Linked DNA regions of Mytilus edulis. The protein of the gene in region 3 purifies or fractionates together with the protein of the main gene of each other region. This does not show direct contact. Links are inferred from orthologs where the notes say so. Each region holds a gene or a part of one and is shown on either strand. Other genes may lie near its edges. The genes, in order: RNA-binding protein with serine-rich domain 1-like, histone deacetylase complex subunit SAP18-like, apoptotic chromatin condensation inducer in the nucleus-like and putative RNA-binding protein Luc7-like 1.

The links.
Region 1: the proteins of apoptotic chromatin condensation inducer in the nucleus-like (region 3) and RNA-binding protein with serine-rich domain 1-like purify together in Homo sapiens (affinity purification with mass spectrometry; 6 studies listed by BioGRID and IntAct, with this or other methods). This does not show direct contact. The link is inferred for Mytilus edulis from reciprocal best matches to the Homo sapiens genes ACIN1 and RNPS1.
Region 2: the proteins of apoptotic chromatin condensation inducer in the nucleus-like (region 3) and histone deacetylase complex subunit SAP18-like fractionate together in Homo sapiens (co-fractionation; 7 studies listed by BioGRID and IntAct, with this or other methods). This does not show direct contact. The link is inferred for Mytilus edulis from reciprocal best matches to the Homo sapiens genes ACIN1 and SAP18.
Region 4: the proteins of apoptotic chromatin condensation inducer in the nucleus-like (region 3) and putative RNA-binding protein Luc7-like 1 purify together in Homo sapiens (affinity purification with mass spectrometry; 3 studies listed by BioGRID and IntAct, counting the BioPlex papers as one, with this or other methods). This does not show direct contact. The link is inferred for Mytilus edulis from reciprocal best matches to the Homo sapiens genes ACIN1 and LUC7L2.

The regions. Positions count from the first base shown.
Region 1 is NC_092352.1:76,793,306-76,801,329, forward strand, and holds the start of RNA-binding protein with serine-rich domain 1-like, read left to right. Parts: upstream 1-5,019; 5' UTR 5,020-5,034; coding exon 5,035-5,057; intron 5,058-8,024. Other genes in the region: protein-lysine N-methyltransferase EEF2KMT-like, read right to left, coding at 84-139, 1,403-1,480, 2,103-2,213, 3,281-3,421, 4,755-4,853. UniProt on the Homo sapiens protein: Part of pre- and post-splicing multiprotein mRNP complexes. Auxiliary component of the splicing-dependent multiprotein exon junction complex (EJC) deposited at splice junction on mRNAs.
Region 2 is NC_092353.1:33,376,189-33,384,946, reverse strand, and holds the start of histone deacetylase complex subunit SAP18-like, read left to right. Parts: upstream 1-5,174; 5' UTR 5,175-5,276; coding exon 5,277-5,342; intron 5,343-8,748; coding exon 8,749-8,758. UniProt on the Homo sapiens protein: Component of the SIN3-repressing complex. Enhances the ability of SIN3-HDAC1-mediated transcriptional repression. When tethered to the promoter, it can direct the formation of a repressive complex to core histone proteins.
Region 3 is NC_092348.1:35,035,471-35,044,340, forward strand, and holds the start of apoptotic chromatin condensation inducer in the nucleus-like, read right to left. Parts: upstream 3,670-8,870; 5' UTR 3,660-3,669; coding exon 3,513-3,659; intron 3,092-3,512; coding exon 3,052-3,091; intron 2,541-3,051; coding exon 2,509-2,540; intron 1-2,508. Other genes in the region: VPS9 domain-containing protein 1-like, read left to right, coding at 3,919-4,002, 4,888-4,960, 8,428-8,523.
Region 4 is NC_092352.1:56,819,749-56,827,597, forward strand, and holds the start of putative RNA-binding protein Luc7-like 1, read right to left. Parts: upstream 3,556-7,849; 5' UTR 3,435-3,555; coding exon 3,374-3,434; intron 2,426-3,373; exon of another isoform or gene 2,354-2,425; intron 2,028-2,353; exon of another isoform or gene 1,964-2,027; intron 975-1,963; coding exon 880-974; intron 226-879; coding exon 127-225; intron 1-126. UniProt on the Homo sapiens protein: May bind to RNA via its Arg/Ser-rich domain.

The DNA.
Region 1 (8,024 bases), on a different chromosome or scaffold from region 3:
CCTACACACAATGAGTACATCACAAGTAATCAAGAATTTTATGTATGTGTTAAACTTCTATACAAAATCAGTAGAATCCCTACCTATTTTCTAGCAAGCCGCTGTTTTCAAATGCCCATTCTGCTAGGTGTAAGGCAGCCTATAAGAATCAAAATGTTTTAAACATGTATAGCTCACAAAAGGTCATTCAGTTAAAATCAATATTTAATCACTGCTTGAAAACCTACAGATTCCTCAGGGTATAGAAATTGATCAGAGTTTCTTTATCTGCCTGGTTCAACTTCTTCACAAGAGAGAACTGTTTGGCTGTGTGTATTTACTACTACTACTGTCACAATGGATATGTTCAACCAATACCACATGAAGGGTATTGCCAAATTTTCACTAGGCAAAATATCTGCCTCTATCAAACATGGCCTCATTTTCAATGAACCGTCAAAATTTTCTGTTTTCATTGTAGTCGACCCACTTTACAGAGTCAACCCCTTGAATGTATATTTCACGTATTTGTTTGATCTCATTCTGAAAGTGCATAAAATATTTACCTGTTCAAAGTCAGGAACTTCTAAAGAGTCATCATATATTTATGTCACATCTTAATTTTTTTTTATTTGAAGAATTTGGTTTCTCTTCTGTTTTATCCTTAAAGTCATAAGAAACGAGTGACCGGTGAAAAATAATGTTCTTCCAATTCTTGAACAAATGCATACAAACATCATAAACTTAGTCTTCTGTGCTCGAATTTATCATTTTTTTCGTGTAAATTTCGTATAATTGTCAATTTTTTTTTCAATCGGTCAGTGTTGTTGTGAAAATATGGCAGGTAATTAAAGTTCGTGTCTTGAAGCCGAAGTTTAACGATTGTCACCTGTTTGTCAACAATTGACGAAAAATAAACAAAAAAGCATGGAAATTGAGCACGTGTTTAACATGTAAATTCAGATAATAGTTTATTTTAAGGACATCCATGCGTATTGTGGTCACCGGATTTTTACGAGATGGGTCACACTGAGGTCACCTTGCATACGGAAAATATCTCGGGGGAATTGCTTGCTGGAAGGAAGCTATTCAAATAAAGTAAACTTCTTCTAAATATGAATAAATTAAAGAATTTTCTTCAGAAAAAAGTACATGTACATAAGTTTTATAATGAAAACTATCCATTGAGTTATTAAAATCATATGCATTATTTTTTTTTGATTTGAGGTTTCTTATGACTTTAAACATATATATATACCAGTATTAGAAGGAAAAATGTGTGAGTTGTAACATCAGGATAAAAGTTTGTTTACAGTCGTGACAAAAGCTCTATTGGTTCATGTTAGTATTTGTTCATAAAAGTGATACTCATATTCTCCATCAAGTAACTACATTTCCCATAATGCCTCTCTCTCTGACATACCTGCCATGTGTTCAGTCCAGTTGTTCCTTGGGATATGAGATGTATTGATTCTTGTAGGCTTACTGTTTCACTATTTGGCTGCAAGAACAAATACAAATAAATATTGGAACTGACAGAACAAAGATAAATCACAAATAATTTTCTGAGGCTTTTTATTTTTACCTCGAATCAAATGTTGAAGACTGCTTTTGGTATCTTGATTAAATGCTATAATCCTTATGATTCTTTAATTTTGAAATCATCAATTGCAAGCTTACATATCCTGGTTTAAAAGATATTATTATGAGATATAAAAGCATTACCAATACATGTATTTACTTTTCTGATAAGATGATCAACAAATTTCATAATAATGAATAAAGAATGTTGACTCATTAGATTAGTAATGAAGCACCAAAAAGTATACTCCACAGTAGCCTTATCTGAATGATATTTGGTGTTTACTTCATGAAAACCCTACACTTTTTCTGGCAAAAAATTATGTCATCATAATGAGATGCTGTTACAAGTAGCAGTTGTAGTTGTTTGTTTAACCTCAGTTTCAAATGGGATTTGCAGGGGAATCCCTGAATAGAAAGTACATGTACATGTAGGTATCTGTTTGTGTCAGAAATGTAAATCAAAACATGTCTACAATGTGACATCATGGGTATTATAATTAAAACAAAAACAAGGGAACCTTGTAGAAACCTGATTTTACCAGATGATATGTTTTGTAACAAAGGATGTCATCTTCGTCTTCAGTCTGTTGTAAAAGGTCTGTGTAAACCTCGTAGATTTCATCACACATTTCAACCTCACTTTCCTCTAACTGAAATTGACAAGTTACATATCAAAACTCTACAAGTCTTTGCAATTATTCCTAAATGATTCATGCCCAGCTACAGGTATATTTGTAGATACTCTATTGTTGGTCCTGGCAACGTCCTACACTTGAAGTCATACCATGAGCTATCTTTAATCATATTTCATGTGATGTTCAGTTACAATGTTTAAATATTTTATGATCTAATGAGTAATTAACATAGAAAACATGTATGTATGTTTATACAAGTTTACCCTATATGATTTTTTTAAATTTGTATTGATGATTTTATGTATCATACATGTAGGGTTGCTGTCTCATTCACTGTCACATATATCTGACATCAACTTTTATTCACATCATTTATTGAAATGGGAGATAACTCTTACAATATACCAAAAATCTTTGCACGAAAAAATCCAATACAACATGCATTTCAGTGGACACAAATTATTTTAGTTGATCCCTCTCAGTAATGATTTCTCGCATTTCTAATAAGGCCAAATAAAAATATATGTGTGGTTCCAGTAACCCTACCGTCTATACTTTTTTCGGCTTAAAAATAGCCTACCCTAAAGATTTTATTTTCATTTTTCATTAAGCACTGTTAAAGTCAGAATGTTGCTCCCATGGACTCAATATAAAAAAAAAATAATAAAATATAAAAAAAATTCCAACCTACCTAACTTTTTTTCAGATGTAACTGGAACCAAACATACTTTTTTATTTGGCATAATCATGAAAGTTATGAGAGAGTTTGATTAAGATTCAAATAATAAGTATCGACAGATTGTAGTTCAATGAATATGTATATTTATTTAGCTTTTAATTTACTGATAACAAAATCAATATTTATACCAATAAAAACATTATTCAATGATCTTATTACAGTATTGAATAGGTAACCTTTTTAAGTTTTAGAATAAGTTTATTTAAAGGAGCGACAAGTTTACATGGATCATTTCTAAATTTCCGGGCACAGTTAACATTTAATTTTGCTTGACATGACAACTCAAACCAATATGTCATGTATTCTAACATTAACTAAATACGATTCTGATTATTAATCAAACCTTGTGAAGTAGGGTCTTCGTGAAAGCTTTTTGGTAGGATACTGACGGAGGATATTTTTTGCAAAGTTCATTTAAAACTGTGGCATTGAGGACAGCCTTCTGTTCCTCTGGACCAATCTGTGCACTTGTAATAAGCTCTGTCTGGAAAAAAGAGTAAAAAATAAAACAGATGCTATTATAATACTATTTCAATTTTTAAGGATTTATTGATTGGTGTAACTGTTTGCTCAATGTCCAAATGGTAATTTTTGTTTATCATATAGTATTAAACTTATGTTAAAGGGGCACTAGCTGTCAAATTCATGGTCACCGATTTGACTCATATTCTCATATTTGATTTATAGCAATGTAATATTTTATCCAAACTATCAATAGTCTAAAATAAACAGTTTACAGAGCATGGGGTAGATAATATATAGGTTTGTTTCGTGTGTATTTTAGTCCAGACGCCATCTAATTACCTATCGATTTAACCTCAGATGACCATATAAGCGATGTACATTTTGTAAACATAAATAAAGAAATGACTAGATTAAACCAACATGTGCAATTGGATTTTTATAGGTCTGTTTGATTTTATTTTATAGATCAAAAATAGATGTTTCTCATTGTTTTTAACCGTATAAGAAATGATTATATGTGCATCAAATTAGTAATCAAATGATTTACCGTAGTTTCACTTTCATTGTTGACATTCTTTTTTTTTAAATAACCAGTACACGTACATGACGTACAATGCATGCGTTGTCAATCTCTAGCTAGGGGTTAAATTGAAGTTCACATGAATACGGATTTAAAGAGGTCGACTCATTCACTTGCAAGTGAATTACTAATTATCAATGTTTCTTAGCGTAATTTGACAAAATTGAACCTTTTAGGCTGCAAAAAGTGAATTGTTATTTCACTATTTCACTGTCATTATTGATTGAACAGGAAAAAATCAAACATCACATGATAAAATTTATTCAACACACCAAAAAAAACGTAGTCAGAATCTCACTTCATTTTGAAACAAGTCCATGAAACAAAGTTATAGCAATAGCCAATACACTAACCAAAACATGATTGAGAGTTATTCAACACAAAATAAAACGTTGACAGAATCCCACTTTATTTAGAAAGGATTATTATTTTTTTTTAACAAAACACTATCCAAAACATAATTAAGATTTATTCAACACAAAAAAAAATGTCTCACTTTATTTTGTGACAATGACAACAATTATATTTATAAGAATACACTTGCTTACAAAGTTATTAAGCACAAAACCAATTAAGATTGGGCGCGAACATGTAGGGTGCGAACGGACTTTGGGTGCGAACATGAGTGAGTGCGAACGTGAATGGGCGCGAACGGACCCGGATTCGATATAGACCAAAGATAATTTTTGTATAGTAAGCCCTGCGCAGAAAACTCAACATTTGGATAAATATAAGTATATTGACGGAAAACAAACATAATATGACTACTAACTCTCCATTTTATTCGCCTTATCGGCACCATTTCAAAAAATTGACATGAAATTTCATGCAAAATAACTTTGGTATCAATTGAGCTCATGGAGGCTGCCATTTTTATTCCTTAAAGTAAAAGAAATTCTCATTGGCAGGCAATTTAAAGACTTCATATTTCGTCCAATCAGAAACGAGCTTTTAAAGTGTAACGGCGTCAGAACCTCTACCTCAAAGATGTAAGAATTAATTTTTCTAATCCATTAATATCGTAGCCATCCATCTACTTTACCTGCATTTAAATGTCAACATCGATTGTTGAAACGTTTAATAATTAAAATTACCCTTTTTCGTTAGAATTTAAGAAAAATTGGGAATGGGTTTTTTTTCTAAGCATTGACCCCCCTTTTCTGTATCTGTTGTTAAAATAATTTCTCTTGTTTCCTGTTACATTTCGTGGTTGTAGTATGCAGTAACAGAACTAATCAGAAGTCCTATGCAAATATTTAATTGCACAAACTCATTTTAATGCCAAAAAAGGTTAATTTATATTGATAAATTGATTGAAAGAATGAATACACCTTATAGCTATACACCTTATCGCTATTTGTCCGCCATTGCTGGAAATCACACAGGTTCCCGTAAAATTTTGACGTCATAAAACAAAATGTCTGACGCCACAATGGAAAAGTGATTGTTGTTGACGTCAAAAGTTCAAACGGACGGGTCAGCCGGGAATAGCGATAAGGTGTATTTGTCTGACGCCCCAATAAAGAAGTAATAGTTGTCTTGTCAAAAGTTCAAGCAGCCGGGATATACCTTATCGCTATTTGTCCGCCATTACTGAATATCACACAGGTTCCAGTAAAATTTTGACGTCATAAAAAAAAATATCTGACGCCATAATGGAAAAGTGATTGTTGTATGTGTCAAAAGTTCAAGCAGCCGGGATTAGCGATAAGGTGTATAGTTTATACTTGTTGATATATCATGATGAATGAAAAAATCAATATTGATTAATATCAGTTCACTATTCTATACTGGTCCAACAACAGAGTTAACATCTTTTGATTTTTGTTGTCATTGGAAATGAAGAATCCATATATATACAAAATGTACAGTACCACTATTTACAATGAGACCACTCTCCACCAGAGCCCAAATGACAAGACATTTACAGTCTTCATGCTTAACTTTTGAGTCCACAAGCCAGAAGCCCAATTTTTGGAAAATTTTAGTAGTATTCTGTTGGCTTGTAGAGGAGAATCTTACAAGTCTGAAAGCAATTTTACATGCCAATGCCGTAGGACTTGCGTACGGTTAAGCGCTTTCGCGTCGATCCGGCCCAAGTCGATCCGTCCCACGTCGATCCGGCCCCACGTCGATCCGGCCCCACGTCGATCCGGCCCCAATAAAAAAGTATATTTATAAGGATAAAAAATAAAGATATATATTAAAGTAATTCATAAATGTTTATGATTTTTATTATAATGTAAAGGCGTACGGTAAAAAAAAAAAATTTCTTCAGATGAGTATACAAACAACTAGGTTGATTATGTTTTTATTACAAGTTTTCAAGATTATTGGGTATAATTATATTAAAACAATTCAGACATCAACATTAATCAGCAGTAATTAGCGTTTTCTTTCAATTGACTGTGATCCTAACAAGTTTTTCATCTTGTGTAATAACAAATAGTTACATACACAACGGTACAAGCCGATCCCCAAGCTGATACATACAAACTTTGTTTTTCTTTTTAAGTTCTTAAAATTTCTTAAATTGAGAAATGTTGTTAGATTTGCCGAATCCTATCTATAAAAGAGAAGACATGGAAGTAAGTAATTATTGAAATGACAGTCTAATAAATTCTTCAATAAAAAAAATATACGAAACTGTTATTAAATATTGTCATCTGCTGTAGCAATTCTTCTCTGTTATATGTACTCAACATTTCCTTTCTTGCAATAAAGAATAATGGATACTCATATAACTTGTGTTTTTTTCTACACACAACTATTCAAAATACTGTCAAATTTATGAAAAATATATCGATATAGGAAGATGTGGTGTGATTGCAAATTCCATTTATACTGTGTCACAATTTCCTCCAAGATCAATATAGTTATTTCTTATTTTATTATGGGGCCGGATCGACTTGGGGCCGGATCGACGTGGGCCGGATCGACTTGGGCCGGATCGACTTTGGGCCGGATTGACTTGGGGCCGGATCGGTTTGGGGCCGGAACGACCGGATACCCGGTTAAGCGTGAAGACTGCATTTAACAACTTGAAGGGCATACAATACAGTTTTGGTCCCGTATTTACATTTTGATAAAAATTTCCATATAAACTATTTTTACCTGATTAAATCAAATATGTAATAAAAAATATGCCTTCATGTGCTACTTTTTGAGTAAAATGAGGTCAAAATTTTGTATATTTGCTAAAAATTCGGACTTGTGGCCGTATTTTCCTTTTCGAAAGAAAGACATAACTTTTTTGTTTTAAAAGATCACAAATTGTTTTTGTTAAATAATTTGTAATTTATGTATTTTATAAGTATCCTAAAAATTTATTCATTTTTTTAATTCAGAAATAATTGTAGAAAAAACATCATTTATTGCTGTTTATTTATCAAATTTTAAAAAATTGCACTATTTACGTTTTCATGAAAATTGGCAAAAATAATCTTGCGTAATCAAACCAAATGGCATTTTGAAAAAGAGGGGTTCATGAACTCGTTTTCAAGTGAAATAAGTTTGAATGATAAAATCAGTCGAAAACTGAATCTTTCCCGATAAGTCATACACTGTAGTTTGACGTTGCGAAAATAACAATTTACGGTAGCAACGTCATTACCTCCCCTGTAACTATCGTATGCCCTCAAGTCTCTGAGTCTTGACAACCTTCAACATTACAATGCTGTAGTTGTGTCAGTTGTGTATTTAAATTTACTTAAATTTATTGATGTACAGTTTTTAAAAGCATTTGCTTTTACTGTCATTTAAAACATGTAAGGCTATTTTGTTAATCAACAAAATACATGTAGAGGGGACACAATTTTCGTTTTACAGTTCTTTTAGGATTGTGTAAAAGTATCTGTTTGCTTGGCTTTTGTATTGAAAATGAAGCCAATTTGATTAAGCATTCCTCAAAATTTGAAATGCATATTTAATAGAAAGTTTAATAGTTAACCCTTTTCCACAGAAATTTTGAGTCCCCTAAAGGTTACTCAACAGAATTCATTAGAACGCAGTGATTCAAGAAATTCACCTCTCTCTGATAACT
Region 2 (8,758 bases), on a different chromosome or scaffold from region 3:
ATAACAATATCAACCATTTTGGTTTGCAGGTGGGTCAATGGATAACACAAGGATTTTGGTTCCAGTTGGCTTTAGTAGTTTCAGAGATTTTTATAAAATATACCAAATGAGGATGATGGACTGTGGATAATGAATATATAGCAACTGTCCCTCCATTCTTTCTAGTTCAAAGATCATTAAGATTTTTTTATTTTTACAGGAGCAAATATTCCAAAAGTTAAAAAGCCTCAATAAATCTGAGAGAATCGTTTTAATCATTAGAAAAACATGGTTCTTTTGTTAGGATACTAATAAATAGCAATATCGAAAAATGCTAAATTATGAGTCTCATACATGATAGAAATCTCAAGACATAAAATACAACTTACAAGATGTTGTCTTGAAAGATGCTTTAATGCTTATAAGGACAGAAATTACAAATACATAAATTACCTTTTGTAAATAAAGAACTCACCAATCTGATATAACTTTCCCAAATAAATATATGCTTTACATGAAAGTGCAACTCAATTTTTAACTTTCATCTGCTTGAATGAAAATATTCTCTAAAATTTTAAATAACATTTAAACTTGATCATTTTTGGGGTGCATCAAAATGCTATCAAATCAGATAGTAAAAGTTTAATTCTTTATAGCATTATTTACTGAAACATTTAAACAGCTTACCTATACAAGCAATTCCATTACCTTTAAATTATTATTACTTTTTTTTAAAAATCAAATATGATCATAATAACAATCTATTGATAAAAATCAAAAACAAATAATACTCACCGTTTATTTTGTCCAATCTTCTTTTGAAAAGCGATGTTGCCGCCTAAAAACAGCTTTATGTTTGCTGATGCATGATAAAGGGCTGTCCCTGTTACAATAGACAACTAAACAGCTATACAATTTTCCTATAATAGATGCACAGCTCTGCTATTAACAATTTTACATTCAAATCACCATGGTATTGATGAAAGTTTTTTTTCAACAATAAAATACAATTCCCTGAATACCTCAGAAAGACAAATATCGATAAATCTACCGATAGTGAAAAGACACTTTTATTCAAATTACAAGTAAGATTATATAACCTGTTAAAAAAAAGTAACAATGAACATTTAAAATTAAAAGTATCATTATTGTTAAAAATAAAACATTTACATTTTACAACATTGTTCAATATGGTAATACAGTTTATTATCTAAAAAAATGTGTTAATTTTCAAATAAATATAATGTTAATTTATGCATACATAGAAAATAGCCATTTTGGTCAGATTCAGAAAGGCCAATAAAAAGTGATGTTCAAGGCAAAATGAAGTATCGTTTTACATTAGGTGGTAATTGATAATCAGTTCTATGGTTTAAGGGGGTCTGCATTACATGTTTAAAGCTCACTGTCAAAAAAGGTGATTTTCCAACCCTGATAAACCCCAATATCCTTAAAATCAGTAGCAACTACAACTTAGCCTTATAATGGTTAAAATATTTTTGAAACCTAACACTGGTTTTTAAATATATTTTTGAAAATTTATGAGATTTAAGAATATATGATTATAATTTAGTGATTATAAACACACAGATTAAGCTTGGTATACAATAAACCACTTGACTGTATTGAAGGGATGTCACATGTTGATAAAAATAAGGATAAGCAAGCATGTATGTTTGCTCCCAAAGTTAGGGAATCAAAACACTAGAAATCCCCTTTTTGCTGCCAAATAGACAAATTTCATGTTTATTGCATTTCCATCAAAATATAAAACGTCTTTGCATGAATTTTTAGGCAAATTAAATTCTTTTAATTAAGATTCAGCACTGCTGTCATTAGGAAATTGTGATTAAGTAACAATGTTAAAAAGAACAAACATTATTTCTAGGTTATCCTGCATAATGACAATCACAAAGATTCTAGATAAACTTGAAGAGAGCAGGGATACAGGCACTTCCTTCTATCTGGTAAATGACGTAATAAAGATGCACAAAATTGACAAACTTTTCCTGTGGAGGACATAACTCGAAAGTAGTCTATTCAACAAACATTTGAGGTCATCAGATAAAACCTAGCAGGTCTTTTTATATTCAGAAAAAGGGGAGGTCAATTTTTCTAATTAGCATAGTTTAACTTTATAAAACATTTGTAATAGAGTACTCAGTAGTAGTTTATACATTATTTAAAGAGGGCATCAGAACACATAACACGAATCTCCCATTTAGATCCTCAAACAAATTAAACCAAATAACTACAAATATCACAATGACATTCAAATATATAACCAACTATGTATATATACCATAATGTTAGTCCATCATGCTAAATTTGGAACAAATACTATCATAAGTGATAAAAATATTTACTCTGGTATTATACTTTTAGTTTCATTGATAAAATGTCTAGTTTGCATTTTGAATAATCTTGATGTGGTTTGTACAGAATATGTACAGAAATATAGCTTATATAAGTTTGCACTTAGTAAAAATAGCTGATTTACAAACCATGCCCATTTTGAAAGATTATATAGGTATTTTGTTCTGTTTACCTTCTGGATTCCTTCTTCATGTTTCATCTCATTGAGACACAACTTGAAAATTTGACATGTTTATGTCTTAGTGTTACAGTTAGATACCAGTCAAATTGAATTTTCAGGAAGACTGAAAGTAAAGGGAGAGACTTTAAGAACAGAATTCAAGTATAAGTTTAAACCCTTAGATATTCAATGCATATATACATATCTTAATTATGCCGCACAGCCCTATGAGACATGTGCAAATAATAATCATTGATAACAGTGCATCTCAACTTTTCATTTCAGGATATACTTGGTTAGGAAACTACAGTTTTAGCCATAAAAGGAGATCCTATGGGTATTATCATGGTTTAATTTATATTTACAGAAGTGCAGACCATACATGTTATCTTGTGTCATCAGTCTGATTAAAACCAGCCCACACTATCCACTTGCGTTAGTGGAAACAAGTAAATAGTGGGGGCTGGTTCTAATCAGGACTAATCAGACTGTTGTGTCATATATATGAGTTTAATTTTACAAAATATTTACCTAACAGTTTTGTGTTTTTTGACAATAACTCCTTCAGTCCATCTCACTAAGGAATTCCTGCAAACAAAAATATACATTTATCATTAATTCTATCTATTTCTCATCATATTCTTTAACACTAAAATGAATATTGTAAACGACTAAAGAACAAGAGGCTCATAAAAGCCTTGATTGTTCACTTGGCAAAATAAAGGACAATCAGATGTTCTTTTTTTTCAACATTTTTTGCACTCTATGAATATGTTTTGGCACTGAATACTCAGTTTCAAAAATACAGATTTTCAATAGCATTCATGTTAAATCAAGAGGAATAACCCATTTTTGTTATTCGGTAACAGGGTCACAATAGCTATTTTCAAAAGATTCAAGATCAGGATTATATTTTTCTAGCCAAGTCTTCCAATCCTCCCAATTTTTTACTCCTCTCAAAATAGCCCTCAACTGTATAATAATTATAATGATCATAGTAGTCTCAGTTTAAATTTAAAGGATCTTTTCCTTCTTCTTCAGTTACAAAAAACCATGTTTACTTTCAGGCACATGCCTGGTTAGTTTTTTTTCAGAATAATTTATTTATAAATTTTTGTTATGTCAAATACTTGTTATTTTCTCAGTTTTTTTGTTTTTTTGTTTTTTTCTAATAACTGAGGGGGAGGACAGGGGGTACCCTTCTCCCTTCTCCCACCCCTCTTCTCCATTCTCCTACCCCCGTTCTCCTTTCTCCCATTAGAATAAAACATCTCCTTTTGAGATATTTTTTCTTGAAATATTAGATCATTTTTTAAAAGGAGAGATATTTTATTTTTTCTCCTTTCTCCCAGCCTTCCTCTCCTTTCTCCTACCCCCTTTCTCCTTTCTCCCACCCCGTTTCTCCTTTCTCCTACCCGGTATCAGGTCCGTTCGCGCCCAAAACACTTTCGCATCCTACACGTTCGCACCTCGCACGTTCGCACCCAAGGTCCATTCGCACTCTACACATTCGCGCCCAATTTTAATTCACATTCCAGTTGAATAATTGGAAAATTATGATTGTTGTTTAAAGTTGCTTTGGTGTAAATACTGAATGTTTTTATAGCTTAATATGAGTAAAACTTTGAAGATTTTAAATGAAAAACACAAAACGGATAATTGTTTTTAACAGCTTGGTCCCTTTGACCTGAAACAATCACACAATTAAATATAGCAATACACTATTTATATAACCAAAACATGATAACATTTATTCAACACAGAAGAAAAAAACGTAGTCAGAATCTCCTTTCATTTTAAAACAAGTCAACTTGAAACAAAAGTTACAGCAATACACTAACCAAAACATGATTAAGAGTTATTCAGCACAAAATAAAACGTTGACAGAATCCCACTTTATTTAGAAAGGATTATTAATTTTTTTAACAATACACTATCCAAAACAGGATTAAGATTTGATCAACACAAACAAAATGCTGTCTCACTTTATTTTGAGACGATGACAACAATTATACTTATTAGAATACACTTGACAAAAATTTGATTACAAAGTTATCAAACACAAAACCAATTAAAATTGGGCGCGAACATGTAGGGTGCTAACAGACTTTGGGTGCGAACATGTAGGGTGCGAAAGTGAAAGGGGGCGAACATTAGTTGGTGCGAACGTGAATGGGCGCGAACGGACCCAGATTCCTCCTACCCCCTTTCTCCCTGTCCTCCCCCTCATAACTCCTTGTTGTAAAAGTTCTGTATTACCCTTAATTAATTCATGACAGTTTCATTACGCCTTTTGTGTCAACTTTTCACTAATGATCACTAACCACAAAAGTTACTTTTTATGACTAATCTTGTAATCTGTTATGATCTAGTATGTCTTTTTTTAAATGTACTGTTAGTGATTACTTCATAAATTTCGCGGGATTTAGAGTAACTTCCCTTTCAAATATTTTACAGTAAAGTGTTGAAACTGAGTCTAGATTGAGTTTATTTCTAAACCTGATAATTTATTTCTAATTATTTATTTTTGTTTGGTTGTGATTTTCTCTGAATATTTTTTTTCAATGGATTTGATTAAAATCAATTGCTTAACAAAACCAGAGAGTGAATTTATCTTTGGCATACTTCTCAATATCTGTAACGTAATGAACACTGCACTGTCGTCATACAAAAGTTGTTTCCCCTTGTAAAAAAAGCTTGCCGGTTTGAACAATAACTGTTTATTTTTAATTCAGAGGCAATATAGTATTTAAAGTTTAAAATGCCTGTCGAATCCGTTGTGGAAGAACAGCCGAAGGAGACAGAAGCTCCAGTAGACAGAGAAAAGGTATAAAAGCACAGCAAGTTCCAAAAAATTATGTCCCTTTTGCACAGGCACTTGTTTCTATGTATGTATGTACTCGAGATTCCGCCAATTTAGACGCACCCCTTGATTGACTGCAAGGGTACAGCGGATCCATGTACACTCCCTAAGGATTAATGGAGATGTGTCCTTTACAATATTATCCCACCACCAGAACAATCCCCACCCAACACCGCCCAAGGGAGCGTGTAAGACACAGGGAAGTCTGTTATTATTGTGGAGGAAGCCGAAGTACTCGGAGAGAACCACCGGGGCCACTCGGTGGAAACAGACAAACCAGAGAGATATCAGAAGATTGATCTCCAGGTCAAAGTAGGGGGGACACCTTTGACCAACCGAGGCCCCCTTTAGTTTAAACATATTTATTTATAGTGGATTGGGAAACAAGTTTTGCAACTTATATTAATCCCTTTCCACTTTGCGGGTGCAAGTGCTGCCTTGTAGCGGCATTAGCCTACTCTTTTTCGAAATCTACAAGGGTGTCTTTAACGTGCAAGAGATATGGCTCTCTCTTAACACGGGTCAGCCATTTATCGTCCCCTTCCGACGGACTATCATCGTTTCCTCAAGACCATACTCGCAGATGGTGTCAAGGGAGAGCCGAAAATTGAGTTCCTAAAATTTTCATCCCAAACGGGAATCGAACCAGGAACCTTTGTGTTAGTAGTCCGATGCACTAACCACTACACCACGGCCCCCTAAGTACCCATTCTAGTTTAAACTCCGGTCTGGGTACCAGAGATGTGTGTGAGAGGGTGAAAATTACCCTTCTGATGTACTGATATTTTTAGCACCCCGAGTGAGAATCGAACTTGAGACCTTCAGCACTGTAGCCATCGGTCTTAACCACTAGACCACGAACTCACACTCTATCTAATTACATTTGTATGTGTGATTTACTATCCACACCAATACGTTTAGATAGCTATAAGTATTTGTAAAGATTTGGACAATAAAAAAAGCACAATATTTATCATGTTTATTAGCACAAAAATGTAAATATCCTACCGTAGTCTACAAATTATCAGTCATCTTGTTGCAAATTATGTTGGTTCGTTCGTTATATGTGTTTGTACTTATCACATGAGAAAACTCCACATTGACATCACTACGCTATTACCAGCGTTCAAAATTAGTGCAGAATACGTTTTCCCTACTCTTTTAAGGTTCATCATATCAAATGGACAAATATGGCCGTATTTTCACCTCAAAAACTACTCTGTGTACAGACTTACCTTTGCTGTTTGGAAAGTTTTAATGCCTAGCATCCACTAGATATATAAAAGTTAAATGCATTTTGTGTTAAAGAAAGATAAAATCTTTTTTTGGTTTTTGCTGGGCATTTTTTTTCCCTTTCTGCAGAAGGTGTAAAAATAAACAAACACCTGAATTACTTTGATACTGTCCACTCACTGACTCATATGAACTCTTTAACTCACCTGTAGTTGTGAAGATACCTCTTGTCCATGTAAATTAAGGACAATCAAAACAATACAAACCGGTTTTTTACCTGAGGGAGCATCTCATAGTTGTACCACAACTTAGATAATTTTCAGACCTTTTGCATGAAGGAAAAAAGAATGCCCATCATATTCCAAAAGAGACTTTATCTTTCTGAAACACAAAATGCATTTAACTTTATTATATCTAGTGGATGCCAGGCATTAAAACTTTTCCAACTTCACAGGTAAGTCTGTACTCAGAGAAATTTTTGGCATGTAAATACAGCCATATTTGTCCGTTTGTTATGATGAACCTTAAATAACAATCATTTCTAAAGATAAGTTTCCATTGTTATTGAAAAGTATTGTACACAAACGTCATTTTTCTAATTATGGCCATTTCAAACCTGCATTACAATAAAATGATAAAATAATTCAAATTACGTTTATTTTCATCAATATTAAGAGTTTCATGAGCATTATTTGTATGTTAAAGTCTAAAATCAATATAAAGAAAAAGGTCTCCGGATGCATAATTTTTTCCGGATTCACGGTGTGTGTACAGTATAAATAATAAAATACAAATACATTTATAATTTAATAGTAATCAGTTCAAGTATCCTTGATCTATTTCATCAGTTATATTTTGATATTTGTTTCTATTAAATATTTTATTGAAGACATAGTCATAGAAGGGAAAAAATGGAGAAAAAAAAATATATTTGTGGTCTGCAGAGTTCAAAAAGTGTGGTGTTATAGACTCTCCTTTTCTGTTCTATGTAGATATTTGGTCCCTTAATCTTATGATTTGTTGAAAAAATAACTTAAATAATTTTTTGAGATCACATTTATAATGATAAAATACATTTTTGGGGTGTTCAGTGGTGAAAAGACCTACCGAAAATGACTGTGTTTTCACCTCAAAACCTGACTAGGTGCCCATTTAACCAGGCGCTGACTCCATGTTTGCCCTCTTTCACTTTTGCACAATACACATTGGCATCCTTTTTATTGGTTTTGTGTTTAAAAATTTTGTAATTTAGTTTTGGTTAGTGTCTAAAACAATTTATTGATATTTGGAATTCTGCACTGCTTGACCTTAGAATTTGCGCCTCTTGACCTTGACACCATATAACAATCACTTTTCCAAATGTGGTGTCAAATATTTATGTCAAGTAATTGCAGACAAATAGCCATTAGGTGTTTTGCTAAAAGCTATAAATATTTTTTTTCTTCCTTTCCTAATAAATATGATAAATTGACATTTTGAAAATGTTTTTTGCGTTGAATAAATCTTAATTATGTTTTGGTAAAGTGTTTTGCTATGAATATGTTTTTTTCAATTGTTCAAAATAAAGTGACATTCTGACAAAAAAATTTGTGTTGAATAAATCTAAATCAAGTTTTGGTTAGTGTACTTGTAGTACTATAAACATGATAAATATTTGTGAGGGCCCTCATGGGGTTTTTGATTATGTGATTACTTGGCCGTTTTTTTAATGATTATTTGATTATTAAGCCAAATATTTCATGATTATTTGATTACCTAGGACTGTATTTTTAGTTTATGATTATTTGATTACTAAAGATAAGGAAATATTTAATGATTATGTGATTATATTGGCAAAAAAATGGTGATTATGTGATTACTAGGACCCCCCCCCCCCCCCATGAGGGGCCTCATTTGTTGTCATTGTTTTCTTAAAAAAGTGCCTTTCTTTCTTGTGTTGTATTCACAATTTTTTGTTGAATAATTTTTGTATAAACTTTTGGGTGTGTACAATGTACATGAAGGATGCATTCTAAACAAATGCTTTCTGGGACATTACATTTAAGCCAATTCACAAAAAATGGAAAACACAGTTACAAACAGAAAATTAGGTTTGTTGTTTCTTCAATGATAAGTAATAACTTTCTTGTCATTTCAGACATGTCCTT
Region 3 (8,870 bases):
AAGAACGCCTCCAGCTTTGGGAATTAACAGCTGCATTGAAGACCCATTGGTGGTCTTCTGCTGTTATCTGCTCTTTGGTCAGGTTGTTCAGGGGTTGACACTAACTTTTGTAGGTGCATATTCAATTAGCCCTGTTCTGTGTCAGGTAGCCCGGTGAGTGGGCCAACGGCCCACGAGTGAGCTGGCCGTAGGCCAGCGAACTTGCTAGGGGGGTCTGAGGGCATGCCCCCCATAAATTTTTTGAAATTTAGATGCAAAATCCTGCATTCTGAGGCATTCTGAGGCCTTTTAAGAAGATGTTTTTAGTCTGAAAAATAACTATTCATACTTGTTTATATCTTCATAAAAAAAAAAAAAATTAAAAAAAAATTAACATGAAAAAAATCTAACGGCAGGAATTTGATGGATATTTTTCATAGTCATGTCCAAATTGCATTAAAAGTCTTGTCTAATACCAAATAATTTAATTTACAAAAATTAATAAGACTAGATAGACATTTGTTTTTAAATATATAGTAGGAATCAATGAATTGTTTTAACATTTTTTTTATTGTCATTTTTTAACAAGAGGTCTCATTAACCCCAAGATTGCATCCACTCTCGTTATGGAATAGGTACAATACCTCTTTCAGTTTGTCTTTATGAATAACAAGTTTGAATGTTTTCTCCAGTGTTTTTTTTTTTGTCAACATGTATAAAACATTTCATTGTTTTTAATTACAAATTGCTTGGCCTGCCTTCTAAATGATCTTCTTTCATTATTATAATATCAAACTCTAGAGGGTATTGACCATCACACAAAAAGTCATATAGCTGTTTATATTCACCAATTTCCATTTTTGTTTACATCTCTGTTGTCCTGATTTAAATTTCAATTTAAAAATGTGTTATTCTGTCCCGTGAACGAAATTTCACAGAAGACACAATTTCATGGGACACTTTTTTGGCTTACAAAAAACTCATCAACTAAAATAATCAAATTAAAACGATGTTTTTGTTTAATTTTATTTACATAAATAAGTTGACTTGTCCCCTATTTTACTTTTGGTTTCTGATGCTGAGTCATGTTCCAACTGATTTGTCTCATGACGAGTATTAACCCTGTTCTTGTTAATGCATTATGACATGCATACATCCCGGTACGTGCAATGGACGCTTTCTGATACCAATGCCTTAGTCTTGTTATCATCATCACCCCTCAGCTCTCAAAAAGAAGCTAATCACATTTAATATTATTACCGGAAATTTACTTTCGTTTCAGTCCATTGCAACTGTAATGATAAATCCCGAGCAATACGAAAAGAATTATGACGACATGACAAACGCTAATTCTATAAAGACAGAGAAGATCGAAAAGTTTTCATCACCACGTGTACCTTTGGAGTAAAGGAAAATTTCAACAGGGAACCTTTCAATGCTCTATTTTAAGAACGAAAGGGCATTTCCAATTTAAACTATTTACACGACGACTATGTAATAGATAAGGCTAAACTATGCACACGATTTATCAGGATCTCTGATGTGATTATTAATAAAATATAATAAAACCAAAATGTATATGCTGTATAATTAATGTTTATTTCAAAACGGATTATCTTGAAACGTGGTGCATTCTTACTTTATGGGCCGAGTAATCTTAGGCCGAGTTGACTATATATAGCGACTGGTTTACGGTAGAAAATTTACCCTCCAGTATCTGTATCTGTATGTAAATAAAGAGGTCATGGAACCAGTGTAGACAAAATTCGACGAAGTTGTCAGATATGACCGGCGTTTGGACTGTATTTGCCGAAAGTACAACAGATTGATGTTCAATGACAAATAAATTTACTAGCCCCTCGGGCTACCGCGCCACGGACATTTACTAGCCCCACACAAAAGTAACTAGTCTCGGGCTGTCGAACCCTGTTGTTGTCTTTTTCACACATTCCCCATTTCAATTTTCTATTTTATGAATTTTTTTTAAATGTCATATATATAATGGTTATTAATTAAAATGTGCAATCTCCCCATCCATGTTTGACTCAACACCAACTTCAAGTCAAGAAAATTATTTTTAACTAAATCATGTTAAGAGTATTCCATAAAAAGATGATTGGAATCAGTTTGTGCAAATCAACATACATAATTTGTTATATTTCTGATATTACAGTTTTGTAGTTTTCATCTATATTTGATAATGAGAAAAGATGAACGTGTTTAGTCAGTTCGTTTGTTGATAATCATTTGTTTTTTGCAGTTATTGTTGTGTCTATGATTGAAAGATAGATCTGTTTCCACAAGATGACTTTGCGTGAAATAAATGAAAAAGTATGTTTGGATTTTCTCTATATTTTAGCTCTATCCTTCAGACTTGTACTGAATTTGTTGATAATTGTTTTAATGATTATTAGAATTAATCCATTCACATCCACAACCATTAATTTCAAGGCAATAATAAGATATGAAGAATAAGTCCTTATGGTAACAGTAAACTTGTAGTTTTATTGGAGTACTGATTTTTCTTACCACTGCATTTATTGGCTCATTATCATCTTGATCTAGAAAGAAAGAAAACAATACTTAAACAATATAATACATGTGGCATTCAACAAAATATAAATATACAATAAGAATCTGGATTTATTTCTGAGATTCTTATCATTGTACTGTCTTTTTCTAGAGGTTTCATTCCAGGACCTTTTTAGCTTTTTATTTGTACATGGCAAAATTTATGAACACTGTATGGTGATATTTAGTTTTTTTACACCCTTTCCTGTGATGGACTGTTTTCTGATTGGAATCATCTAGTTATCTTTATTTTGGATAATACATTTGATGATCCATCTCACTACATATTGTACATGTTATATGAGTATTGATTTGTGTAAAAGTAATAATCTAATTGTTGCTAATTGGTTCTGGTAAAAAAAAGTTTAATCAATGGAGTAAAATTTACATAATATACTGTATAAATCTCCTAATTCAAGCTGCCAGAAAGTTATTCTAAATGTTCTTTTGTATGCAAATAAAGAAAAGTCATTACAAACAATCATTCTACCAGTTACTTACTTTCAGGATTTTCATCTGTCTCCTGTTCTTCTCGTAGGAACTGAAATAAACGAAGACAAATGAGCATGGTAGTAAACCATATTATAAAGTGATTGTCACAAGTTCTAAAACCAAGAAAAAAACAACAGAATCAAGCCGACATTGTTAGTGCTTTGACTTTCTTTAAAAGAGATATTTATTGTTTTTTTTTCCATTTTTTAGTCTATAATTTAAGAATTATCTCCCTTGGGTAACAATTTTGGCTTCGACTACAATTATTACTGACATTTTAAACTGTACTTTAACAAGGTAAAAGTGTGACAGATATAGAATGATGAACATAGCTTTTTGAAATACCAAAAACTACAGGCTAGCCGCTACAGCAAATTATATTTTGATTTTTTTAATATTTTGTTTGAATCACTTTGATACACCTGATACATTTTTCAGATGCTATATTCATACGGTTTATTTTGCATTACCGTTCTGAGTCTCTCTACAATATCTTCCTTTTTTCCACTCTTAGAAAGACCCCTTTTATCACATTCTTTCTTCAAATCTACCACGCGATAGTCATTTATGTCTTTTCCCCTTAAAGTCGGAGCATCAGTGTCCGCCATTGTTGACATGTGCTGTCGTTGATTTCCGTAATAGTGAAAATTACTGTTATTTTTTATTCATTATAAGTTTCAATTAAATTAAATAAAGTAAAAACACAGTGAATTCTTTATACAATTGTGCCTACTTAGAAAAAAATACTACATTTAAATTTCTTTTGTCTGTCGATAGTTTCCGTATCCCGGAAGTGACAAAAAGCTGTCTGCAAAATAAATGAAGCTGCAGGTGCCCTAAAACAATAATCTGTTTAAATACAAACGAATATTGAGGATGACAGCTGTAAATACGACAATCACAACAGTGATGAGAACAGTAGCAGATGCGTTAAAGCTAGATGGAGACGGAAAAGTTCAAGTATATATGATAACTGTGAAGTTTGTGATCATTTCCAAAGTTCAATTAGTAATCACAAACCAACTGTTGAACAGTTGAATGATTTATGAGGAAACATGTACATTGAATTTACAAAATTTAAAGTTTCTTTAAATTTCTGCCATGCTCTGTCAGTTTCAACTTGCCCCTGTTACTGCTGACACAGTCTAGACTATGCCATTCAAACCTTATGGCTTCAACAATAATAGTGGACATGGTGGAATATTACATATTCTGTTACACTTGACCATCATGACCATTGGCCTCATACAACAGCCAAAACTTCTTTGTGTCATCAGACATCTTGTCTTGTTACTTGAAAATTCTAAAGTCATATGAAACAAATTTCTGGTGATTTAGCATAAAGGTTTAGGAAAAGTGAAACCACAAAAATGCTGAACTTCGTGGGGATTGTAGAGTGGTCAGTGGTCCAGACATACTTTTGATACAATTATCTCTGTGATAACATCTTACATTAATTTGTATGATCTTTTACAATAGATAAATCAGCTGTCAGATCTGTAACAATTCCATCTTCATGCCTTTTATATCATGTACTGTGTTACGACGCTAGATTAAAACTGACAAGGAAAGGTAACACCATGCCACCAAAAGCTTTATTATTTGTAGAGCCTAGGTGGTTGTGTGGTCTAGCCCTTATGGCATAGTGCAAGGCAAATTTGGTGCCACAATATCTCAGTGGCATGAATTTCGAAATCCTGGCAAGGGAAGATAAAAAAAATTGTGAAAGTTAAATTTACAGATCTAACATTATTGGGCTGATGTTAAGAAGAGTTATACATACTTATACATAAACATTTATATATTCATCATGTTCATTTAAAAGTATCAATGATTTTTTTTTAGGAATCATATATGAAGTATTTAGAATGTGTTTTGAGAATTAGTACAAAGTTGCTACAAGATGCTAGACTTGGAGGTAGAGTTGATATATATGATCCCTGTATTCTATTTTATAAACTGTGATATGACAATGTATGATTGTTGAGTGTTACAGTATGGTTAGCATGAAGGCTTTACTAATATGCCCACCTTAGTCACCTAATCATATGGAAAAGAAGGAATATAATTCATGACATAAGACATTTGAAAATAAACAAAAGTGCTTTTATAAGTGTCCCTATCTTTAACAGGTCGAGAACTCTAGATTTCCTGACGTCCAAATATATTTGCATAGTAATTTCCAAAACACAAGGCCAATACGGCCTTGAAAAACTGACCAATTGACTCAATGAACTACAATGCATTGTGGGCTACTATGAGTCTACACCATTTGAAAACATGTGGAATTAGTGGAAAAACTGTCCACTAACATAGTGTCTGGGACTCTGAAAATAAATGTTTTTGGTCTACGAATATGTTTATTGTAAAATATATAACATAATCTTCAATTTGCATGCTCAGATTAAAAAAATATTGTTTACAGGCTTCATGATTCGACTTTCCTTTTCGCCTTGTAAAAGTAGTTGAACAGGTTTTTTCCATTGTTATGCATTGTACTTGTGCAATAATTTCACGGCGTGAAACAGTGAAATTTTAGATGAATTGACCACTGTCTAGTATGAACAATTTTTGAGCTCTTTTAAACCTGTATAATGTCATTCCAAAAACATTTCTGTGTAGAAAAACATGAAAACTGGCACTGAAACACTTCTATCTGTACTGGATGTGTAAACTTTTTTTTATCAGGACCTGAACTAAAAGTAAGAGCACCATAATATTCAGTATGCTAGATATAAGTGTTATTAAAGCGGTGACGGTAAATAACTTAACATACATGTACTTTGTATAGTTTCATCCATCGATAATGTCTGTCTGTTGCTTATTTAATCCCAAAATATACCTCAGAGGTATTCTTATCGTTTGGCTGCTGTCCAAACGACGTCAAAATCTCCAATTATTTAAATCCTCTGGATCATAGTGGGTTCCATATTACCTATAAGTTTTTCTGAAACATGCCGTGCATATAGAACTAAGAAGATGAGGTATGAGTGCCAAATGAGACATCTTTCCATCCAAGACACAATCTAGTAAAGTAAGCAACTATTGGTTCAATGTTGAAAAGTAAGCTATAAAGGGACCAAAATTTACTTGTGTAAAAGAATGCAATTTTAACAAAACATATCAATGCTTCCACTTTGTCGCACATAAAATGAATAGCATCATTAATGGTTTTAATAAGGTTGGCAAATGTAAGAGTCCGTTAAAAAAAATCCAATGTTGCTATTAGAAAAAAATTGAACTTTGTAAAGACGAAAAACAAAATGAAACTCAGTTGCTGCTTCACTACCTACAGAACAAAAGGAAAAGTTTGAAAGTCCCAAATACTGAAATATGTCAAAAATCAATTATACCTATAGTTTTTGTTAAAACTGTCAGACAAGAATTTAAAAAGATCTTGTGCAGTTTTAATGAAATATGATGGATCATATAGGTTTTGTGCATGTTCTGTATCGCTAAAATTCTCAATATGGAAATATTACTTAAGTGTTCTACAGACGTCAGTAAATATTTCATAAGGGAAAACCGAACTTTCTGAAAAATGTTTGTATACAAAAATAAGGAGATGTGGTATGATTGCCAATGGGACAACTATACATTTAAGCTCAAATGAAATGGATGTAAGTAGTGATGGGCATCTGTAATGCCTTCAACAATGAGAAACACCCATACCGTATAATTGGTCCCTATTCGGCCTATTGATGAATATTCGTTGTTGTTTCTTAAAGACAAAGGAATAAACACATGCTTTTCCTCGATTTAAATTACTTTTTAATCATAAAAGAAGGTACAATATCATAAAATAAATTTTGTGAAAACTTAGAAAGTTTTGTGATCTCATCAGATCTTTGACAAACTCCTAGTCTTCGCCTTTTTACGAACACAAAATTCAAGGATCATATATTTTTCTTTAACTATCTTCCAGTATACAAAATTTGCTGCCCTCATGCATATTAGCACCGGCTAGTTTTGACGGCTTACTTTATACTAGTAAGTTAGTCTGATGGGTAATTGTGTTTTTCACTGTTGTTTCGCTGCTGTCTGGTGGACGAATACCTGAAATCTCGGTGTCATCATCAAACATATTAATGGCTGTACATCGGGTAATTCAAACACTTGTTTCTTGGCATAGAAACAACTCTTTGTTAATCTGAGCATTGAACGAATACTTTATATCCTGAACTATAAATGTGGATACAAAAAATGAAAAACTAAGCGAAATTGTTAATCCCACATTGAACAAAAAATAAGTTGTATTTTAATAAATAACACGCATGTTTGGTTGATTGTAAACACGTAGTAGTCCATCATGCATTGTTACTCATTTAGTGGATTGGTCAAAAACCCAGGAAAAAATAAATTGCGTCACACGTAAATAAACAATAACATTTGCTGCGTATTGCAAGGACATAAATATATATTCTCCGGGTGTGAGAATTTCTCGTTGCATTGAAGACCTGTTGGTAACCTTCTGCTGTAGTCTGCTCTATGGTCGGGTTGTTGTCTCTTTGGCACATTCCCCATTTCCATTCTCAATTTTATGCTAATTAATTCATTTCTGTATAAGGTAGTGTTCCTGACCTGTTAAAGTCATTGTGAAAATTTCTTAAAATCATTATTTTAATATTCTATCTATGAATTTTGTTGAATGTGTAAATACAGTCTCATTTATTAAAAGTCAAACTGGGGATGTAAGATTATATTTATGAGGGATACTAGTAGTATGGTATATTCTTTGGAAGTTTTAACAACCATAAGGAGTTGTGCAATGTTCTTTAGATAAACAAAAACCAATATAAACAACCAATCTTTGTGCATCTATTGGACTGTGCTGGATGTATGAATACAGTTGTGTCAAATAAAGGGGTTTCTTGAAGAGCAGGCACACTTCATTTAGGTTGAAAAACATTGAACATCTCAATATAGGTTTCTGTTTTCTAGTTTTTGTTTGCTTCAACCAAATGATATGAAACATATACAAAATGCTTATTTCCATAATCACAGAGCAAGTTTAAATTTGGGGGATGTCACTTTTTTCAGTTTTCTAGTTATGTCCCTTTATAATTTTGTATGAACACAAACAATTTTTTTTTAGGTGGGTGGGGGGTGTAAATAGATTTCCATAAATTCCATGTGACAATAACTTAGCCTCAATCTTAGTATCATGATAGTTTTATGTTCAATTCAGCAGTTTTTTTTATACAAACTTTATATATATTGATACTGTTTTTGAAGTTAGCCTTAGAAGTTTTGAATATTATCAGCTTTGCTTTCCTGTTCATATTATCTTAGAGAATTAAGCTTCACCTAGGCTGTATGCCCTTTGTTCTTTGACCACTGGGCAAATTCATTGTGAAATTTACCAATAATCACATATAATTTTAGGTAACTTGAATGTCATCATTGGAAAAGACACAGTGAAGATGGTAAGACTTGGTCAGCAGTGCATGGAAAGGGTTGCTGCAGTTGTTACTCAGATTGGTAGGTGAAGTATGTTGGTGGTTTATTATACTGGTCCACAGCCTCTTTATATGGTCTGACTTTATCACAAATTATTGTGTCTTTTTAGGTGCAAATATTAATAGTTTTAACTTTCTTTGACCATTTACACATGTTAGGAAAGGAATGTACATGTAATTAAGATATTGATATTCAGAATCAGATTAAAACTATCACAAACAATGATGAAATCAAAAATACATGTATAACTTCAGATGACATCAAAACATTTTTATTTAAGAGTAAACTATATAATGTTTACTACTCTTAACATTCATCATACACATTATTTTTAAAGAATTGTTAAATATCTTTAGTTATTAACATGA
Region 4 (7,849 bases), on a different chromosome or scaffold from region 3:
CTATAGTTGACTTCTATTTCATTTGGTCCATGGAGAGTATTCTCCTTGACAATCATACCACATCTTCTTATTTTTATAACACATCCTTTTTGTGAGATGGGTGACTATGTATGCGATCATACTTACATCAATATCATAGTAATAATCTTTTCCTCTTGAGGCTTGGTCATAATCAGCCCTGAGTGCTAAGTCGTGGATCTTTGGACATTCACCCAAGTCCATTCTCTGTAAACAGAATAACAGTTATTCACAAATCAAACAACATCTTCATTTTTAACCTTTTATTTAATTTTCCTTCCATGATTCTTAAACCTTCAAAATTCAATGTTAAATTTAAACTAATTCCTTTATACCCAAATGTCTGTTCTAAAGATGTTTTTTTTTTTATCAGAAACATGGAAAGATCTTGTAATTGATGACAACTTTTAAAAAGCTATATTGTGTAGAGATATTTTACTTAGCCTAACTGTTTTGAAACTTAGAATAGCACAATGAATTTGTCTTGATTCAAGCATATGTCTGTATTTATATAAATAATATCTCAAAGATGTCTGCATGTACTTTGGTTCCTCTGATATCTTCTTACTGAAAATTTGCACCTCTTTTGTAATTATTCCAATCAGTATTTACTAATTAACCACACATTTACTTGCTCTTTTAATAGGGAAAATAGGGATGATACATTGCCTCAATAAAATTGTATATACATTTATCAATTGTCAAAACCAATTGAAAAAACATTGTAAACATGTTTTTCCAAATAAAAAAAAAATGTGTTCTACATGTAGCTAACATGGCTAAGGAAACCCTATCAAACTTTATGTGGGATGTACGTACCAATTTCCATGTCATGTTTTTCCATTATATACAATCACTTACCGTGCTAGAAAGAATATCGTGTGGACAGCAGCTTAGCAGGAAACTCTTACATACCCGAGGATCGTCAAACTTCACTTTGTATCTGGATCGATCTCCTAGAAATTATATGATTCGACAAACATGTTAGAAACTTAGAAAATTCAACAAATTTTACACCTTGATATTTTGCCCATTTTATAATCAGTTCGCATAATGACTGAATGAAATCTTTTGTATTTTACAAATAACAAAAATCTTTGTAAAGGAATCAAATCTTTGTTTTCCAAATTGACTGGTTTTCAGAAAAGAGGTGCCATTATGTACATTAAGTGTACACATTCTTTTTACATTTCAGAAGCCAAAACATTAGTTCCTTGTGTTGTGTCTAAAAATATCATTATGCCAACTGTTATACATTACTATGATAATTAAGCATTACAAGTTGCAAACTATTAGTTCTAATGTTTTTTTTGTTACCAAATTTTGCAGTACTTCAATATAGAAAACAATTTAGAATATCATAGATTGCGACATGTACTTTTATCTATATTTCTGTCAAAAGATTTGGCTTTTAAAAATACACACAACATATCTGCTCTTGCAATAAATTGAAAATAATTGATATGTTAAGATTTATTTATTTAAAAACATTTATGAACCATACAAGTACTTACAGTTTTACTGGTGACATCCAATATCCTTGTTCTCGATTAAAAAAACTTATTCATATATTGTACAAAAATGTTGTACAAAGGATTCATGTGTTTTTTACAATACCACATCAGAATATTAAAGTAAACTATACATTTAATCAAAGTAATTAAGTTTTCAAAGTAGCAGAGTTTAGTTGTTCCTTATGTTTCTCCAAGTTAAATTTGTACTTATCATTCAAATTTTTCCTTTTTGACAAATTTATGAACACAGAAATTTTTCAAAATCAAGTTTTAGAAACAAAGGGTAAACTCTGTCCTATTATCATTTTTACTGTTCTAAAAGCATGTTTGATCACAACTTCTGGTCATAATCTTGAAACATTAACATAAACCAAATCTTTTGACAGTATTTTCAAACATTAGATTGTTTGTACTTTACATATTATACACACTGCGATCCTTTTATCATCTGTCAGTGGCATGCTTTTTTCTTAGTTTTACACCTTTTCCTCTCACCTGCAACAGTAAAGATTCCTCAAAGCTGCCAACATGCTCATTAATTAAGTGTAGAAATTATCAAATACATTTCAGTATGCAATATTGGCTTAATAAAAGTTAAAGTTTACATATTAAACATTATAAAGTTACCTGTTATAAATTTACCCTAAAATTACCTGTTAATAAATTTACCTTTCTAACATTACCTGCTAACATATTTTACCTTTTGATAAATTGACTTGATTTATGCTATTTATGAGAATGAAAATTTATTAATACATGAAATAGACAAAGTTACAATAGAAATAGTACTCTGCAATGAAAGCTATTTAATTTCAACTCACGGCTTGGACTTCATCACCTTAAAACCCTTGGCAAATTTGACTGCAATACACCTGACCATATGAAAGGGGTCCCTTGAAAAATAGGGATGCAAATTATTAAAACCCATGAATTTATTGTATTTCAATGTGTAACTGTTTGCATAAAATATTAGAGTCATACCATTTAAATATTTGAAATACATGCAAATATTTGAAACAAAATATATTTTCTTTAAACATGTAAAATGAGAACAAATGCAATATTTGATAACTTTTATTAATTATGACTGTTTTATCTCAAACTACAAGATAAATTCCAGTCTGAAAATCTCTTACTTTACCTTATCACTCAATTAAAAAATATATTTATGTTAGATACATTTGTAAATACATATTTAGCGTGCTTTTAAAGTAATAAAAAATATGTATAAAACAGTTACACATTAAAAAAATCCTGAAAACAAATGTTACTGTAAAGCAGACAACTAAAGCATTTGAATAAAAACATATACCAAACCACTCATAGAAATGTATACAACTCTACATATATAAAGTGAGAGGTACAAACTACATTTCAATTCATAATCATAGATAGACCGACTTTAATAATATTTCATATTTGATTCATCTGACAGCCAAACTTATAATATATAAGTATTAATTAAATTTCTTTACTTCAAACATAAGTTGAAATTTAATTTCTCATCATTTAAAAAATCATTACTATCCCGAAAAATTAAAATGTGACAAAGATAACAATATACAAATTTCTCAAACAAGTTTTAGTTATCTCCCCTTATTAAAGAGGTCAAGGACGCCAAAAGGCAAAACAAGATTTTTTGCAAACACAAGTTCATAAACGAAAACAGTGCAACAAATTCTTGTTTTCTTAAAATTCTCAAATTGAACATTTTGTATTCCGACAACCATGATATGAACATTTAGAAAATAAATTTTAATGGCTTGGGTCGGAAGGCTTTTCAAATCCTGTTTGCTTCCTGGTTTTCATGCATGATTTTGTCCTTAGAGTCTTCAACATACCATCTCTTGCTGTGCCCATCAGCTCATCCAACATCGCCCTCATTTGTTCTTGGGCAGACATTGTACTGTCTATTTATTTTTTGTCTACAATGAACGTCTAAGCAAATTATATTTCAACAACTACACATTCATGGCGTCAACACGTAGGCGGATAGAGCGCCACCTATCGAGGACTGTTTAGAAGAAGTCGTCCTAATCCCGGTATTGTACCCTAAATTCTGGATAAAAAGTATGATTATTTTGAGAATATATCGAGTTACGTCTATGATTTTATTATTCCTGTCAGGTAAATTATCTTTATGAGGTATATTGTAAATTCATGTCTCAATAGATTAAAAAACGAATTTACTGTCAGAAATCTGTTGATCCGTCTGTATTGGATATAAAAAGTAACAGAGACAGCGGACAAGACAGAAGTGCGTAGACGTTAAAAAAACCAAAACACCAACAGTCCGATGATAAGTACTATATATCATACCAGAGACATATTATATGTCTCTGATCATACTCATAAATATATTTGAAAATCTCATAAATTTCTATTCTCAGTAACCTTTCAACATTAGTATAAAATAAGGAACTTATGTAGTGGTATGCTTGCAAATGAGAAGGTGGCAACTATCTTCCACTGTCCATTAATTTGGCAATGGTCTTTTTAAGTCTAAGGGGACGGCCATTTGATATTCGATTTTTTTAAACTCACGATCAAGTTCATAACAAGATTACTAGATTACAAAAGGAACGCAACACTAACAGAATACAGAAGGGCAATCAATGAACGAAAGACAAATAAATAAGAAACATTGATCCGAAAAATCAGGGCTACGTCTGAGGGAAAACAGAACTTGCTTCTTGCAAGGCACTCGCCCTGAACACAATTTGATATGGAGACAAGCGTTTAGTTTTGAAATTTCCTACATGAGGCATTTGCCTCAATGTAGTTACGGCCCTGTTATAATAAAAGTGAGGTTAGGTTTCCTGAGACAATATATTCTTCAAGTTAAATGAAACCAATTTTCAGACATTTCAAGTATATTTAAATAATATTTATACTTTTATTATTAAAAAGATTAGGAAGTGTTTCCCCGATTTTTTTGGGGGGAAAAGATGAATTTATAAAGAATCTGGTGCCATCTCATACTTTCGATTAGACCTGCTGAGTTATTTATTTTCAATACATTGCAAGTCAGGTAATTTATTTTCAAACTACCACAGAACAAACCATTTATTTTTGTGATTATGAAGGCTGAGTTATTTATTTTCAAAATCCTCCTGATCCCCCCCCCCCCCCCCCCCGAATATAAAATGGTCGTCCCCTAATATACAATCATTGAAAAATCTAAGATAACATGTTAAAACAGTTTTGTAAAAATTGAGACCCGAAACATACGACTAAAACGACGTTACGTTATGATTTGTTTTATTTCACAGGTATTCAGACTTTTTGGGTTGTATTTTGATAAATAAAATTTAATTGATATAATATTTTGATAATATGCTGTTCTCACTTTAAAATTCATAACATTCTTAGTTTTTCATTACAAACAAGTAATTAAAAGCTCAGTCTAATTAAAATATAGATCTCTGATTGCCTTTTCCTTTCATAATACGAACCGAGGGTGCGACTGTTGATAGATCTGAATTTTAATCAGGTTGAGGGGTCATCGTGGGGCCTTCAAAATGAGCAAAAACCCGACTTTATCGCATAGAAAGCTAAAAAAAACACGCTTACATTACAAATTTACAACAATTCAAACAATATACTAAAAGGGGTATCAATTCGACAATTTCAATTCTTTAACCATGCTTCATTTTAACAGACATTGAATACACGTGATTTTGGTTTACATTCGTGTCCTTTATGATGTCAATTACCTTTGGACCAAATTTTATCTAAAGGATTCAGTTTCTCCGAATTTTTAATATTCGACGACTTTTCAACAGAACCGCGTTATCATCGAAAATTATTCCATCCACTACAATGACTTCTTTTTCAAAGCCGCCATAGTCTGAAAAAAATGTGACAGGAGCAAATTTGTTGGGAATGTTGAGATTTACATGATGTCCACTGTATACAGACTTTTATAGAACTCATTGCTCTTATCCAAAGGACTTATCATATTTTTTTTTGTCTTTTATCTCGAAAACCGTAATAGATAGACAAAAACATTAGACGTCAAAAACGAAGATGATGACAATTCTACAAATAAGTCAACTGAAGATTCAAGATTCAAGATTATTTATTTCTCAAACACCATAAAATTACAATGGTACAAAGAAGTTCATCAAAAGTTATATAACATAACACAAACACACATGACAAGATGAGATGAAAATATCAAATCATATAAAATAAACAGTATAGTAGCGAAGAGTGGTGATTAACCAGGAAGACTCACTTGAAAAGTTATAACCCTGATAAATTTGCACAGCTTTTTCAACTTATTTTTAATTTTTAACTGAAATAGTTTTTCAAATTTTAGTATGTTACATCTGTGCAAGAAAAAAGTATCCAAATATTGGGATCGAAAATTTGCCAAAGAACTACACTGCAAAGTGTAATGAAATTCATCGCCAATCTCGTTACAATAACATAAGTTACAATATCTAAGGTTTCGCTCAATCTTATTCCATCTACCAGTTTCGATTGGTAACTTATGGTTACCCGTTCGAAATCTACAATATGTTATTCTATCTTTATCACTTAAAATATTCAGATATTCCTCAAATTCAAAATTTTGTTTATACAATTTGTAGGCCAAACCTTTTGACGAACAGTCAATATCAGCTCTCCATTTCTGTTGAAACTGATCAGATAACTTTTGTTTTAAACTAATACCCAACCACTTTGGATTAAAATTTCCTTGTGACAACCATATATTGCTGTATCCACATTTATCTAATATATCTTTAACGTATTTCAACCAATCTGACCTAAATTGGTTGTCAGAACTTTTCAAGAACATATATTTGTATAGTATTTTAGCAATCCTGTTATCATCCCCATTTACCATTTTTGACCAAAAATTAACCATACGCAGCTGTATATATAAAGACATGGGATAAATACCAAGTTCACCATAAATCATAAAATTCGGTGTCGACTTCTTAAGGTTTAATAATAGTTTACAAAATTTTAAGTGCACTTTTTCTATAATATCAGTATTACTGAAACCCCAAATCTCACACCCATACAGGAGAATTGGCTTAACAATTTTATCAAAAAGATCATATTGTGATTTCACTGACAAGTTTAGTTTCCAGGTACTGCAATATTCAAAGAATATATCTAATTGCAACTGTAGATCGGATGCATTATCCGAAAATAACACTGTATCATCTGCGTACAATAACACAAACAGTTTTAAGTAGATATCAAACTCTTCTCTATTTCATCAGTAATACAATTTAAACCACATACATTTTTTTCTTCAATAAACTGTTGAAGATCGTTCAAATACAATGAAAATAAAAAAGGAGACATATTTTCACCCTGTCTTACACCGATATTGCATGAAAAGTATTCTGACATTTCACCATTATACACAATTCGAGATTTAATGATCGAGATCTTCATTGACAACCTATACTGAAGTTATTCGGCCCATAAATGAAGATTTTTCCAATATTTTTGCATTGTTGCCTATTATCTCAAAAACTATAACAGATAGATAGGTACTTAGATGCTATATATTGTTCAGTAAGCCATGATTTACAAATAAGACATGACAAAAATAGGAAGTCGACTCGTTATTGAAGTTTTTGCATTTAAATAAACGATTTTTCGGTTTTTCTACATATTTGCTTCTGACATGAGAAAAAATTGAAACAATTTAAAAAACTAATCGCCTAATTCATAACAAAACAATTTACGAAAAACAAATATGACAGACACGGACTAACAACAACCACTGAACTACTTTTCCACTGATTTTTATATTTGGTTCTTAAGCTTTTTATGTTACACCACTGTCTCAGATTAAGATGAGGGTTTTTCGCAAACAAACTAGTTCAACCCCGTCACGTCCTGCATGTTTGTGCTTGACCAAACTCAGGGGAGCGCATCGATCGTTCGTTGTTGCTGTATTTCATATTTGTTTTTCATTCACTGTTTTGTAAATAAATCAGGCCATTAGTTTTCTCCTTTGAATTGTTTTATATTTGTAATTCGGGGCCTTTAATAGCTAACTATGCGGCATGGGTTTCGGTCATTATTGAAGGCTGTAAGGTGACATATAGTCGTAAACGTCTGTGTCTTTTGGTCCCTGGTGAAGAGTTGTCTCATTGGCAATCATGCCAGAATTTCTTATTTTTATGTATACATTATATGCTGTTACAATTGTTTTAACATTCGTAATATATAAACTTTGCTCATTATTGAATGCCGTACGGTAACATAAAGTTGTTAATTTCTACGTTTTTTTGGTCTCTCATGGAGAGTTGTCTCATTGACAACGATGCCTCATCTTTTTCTTT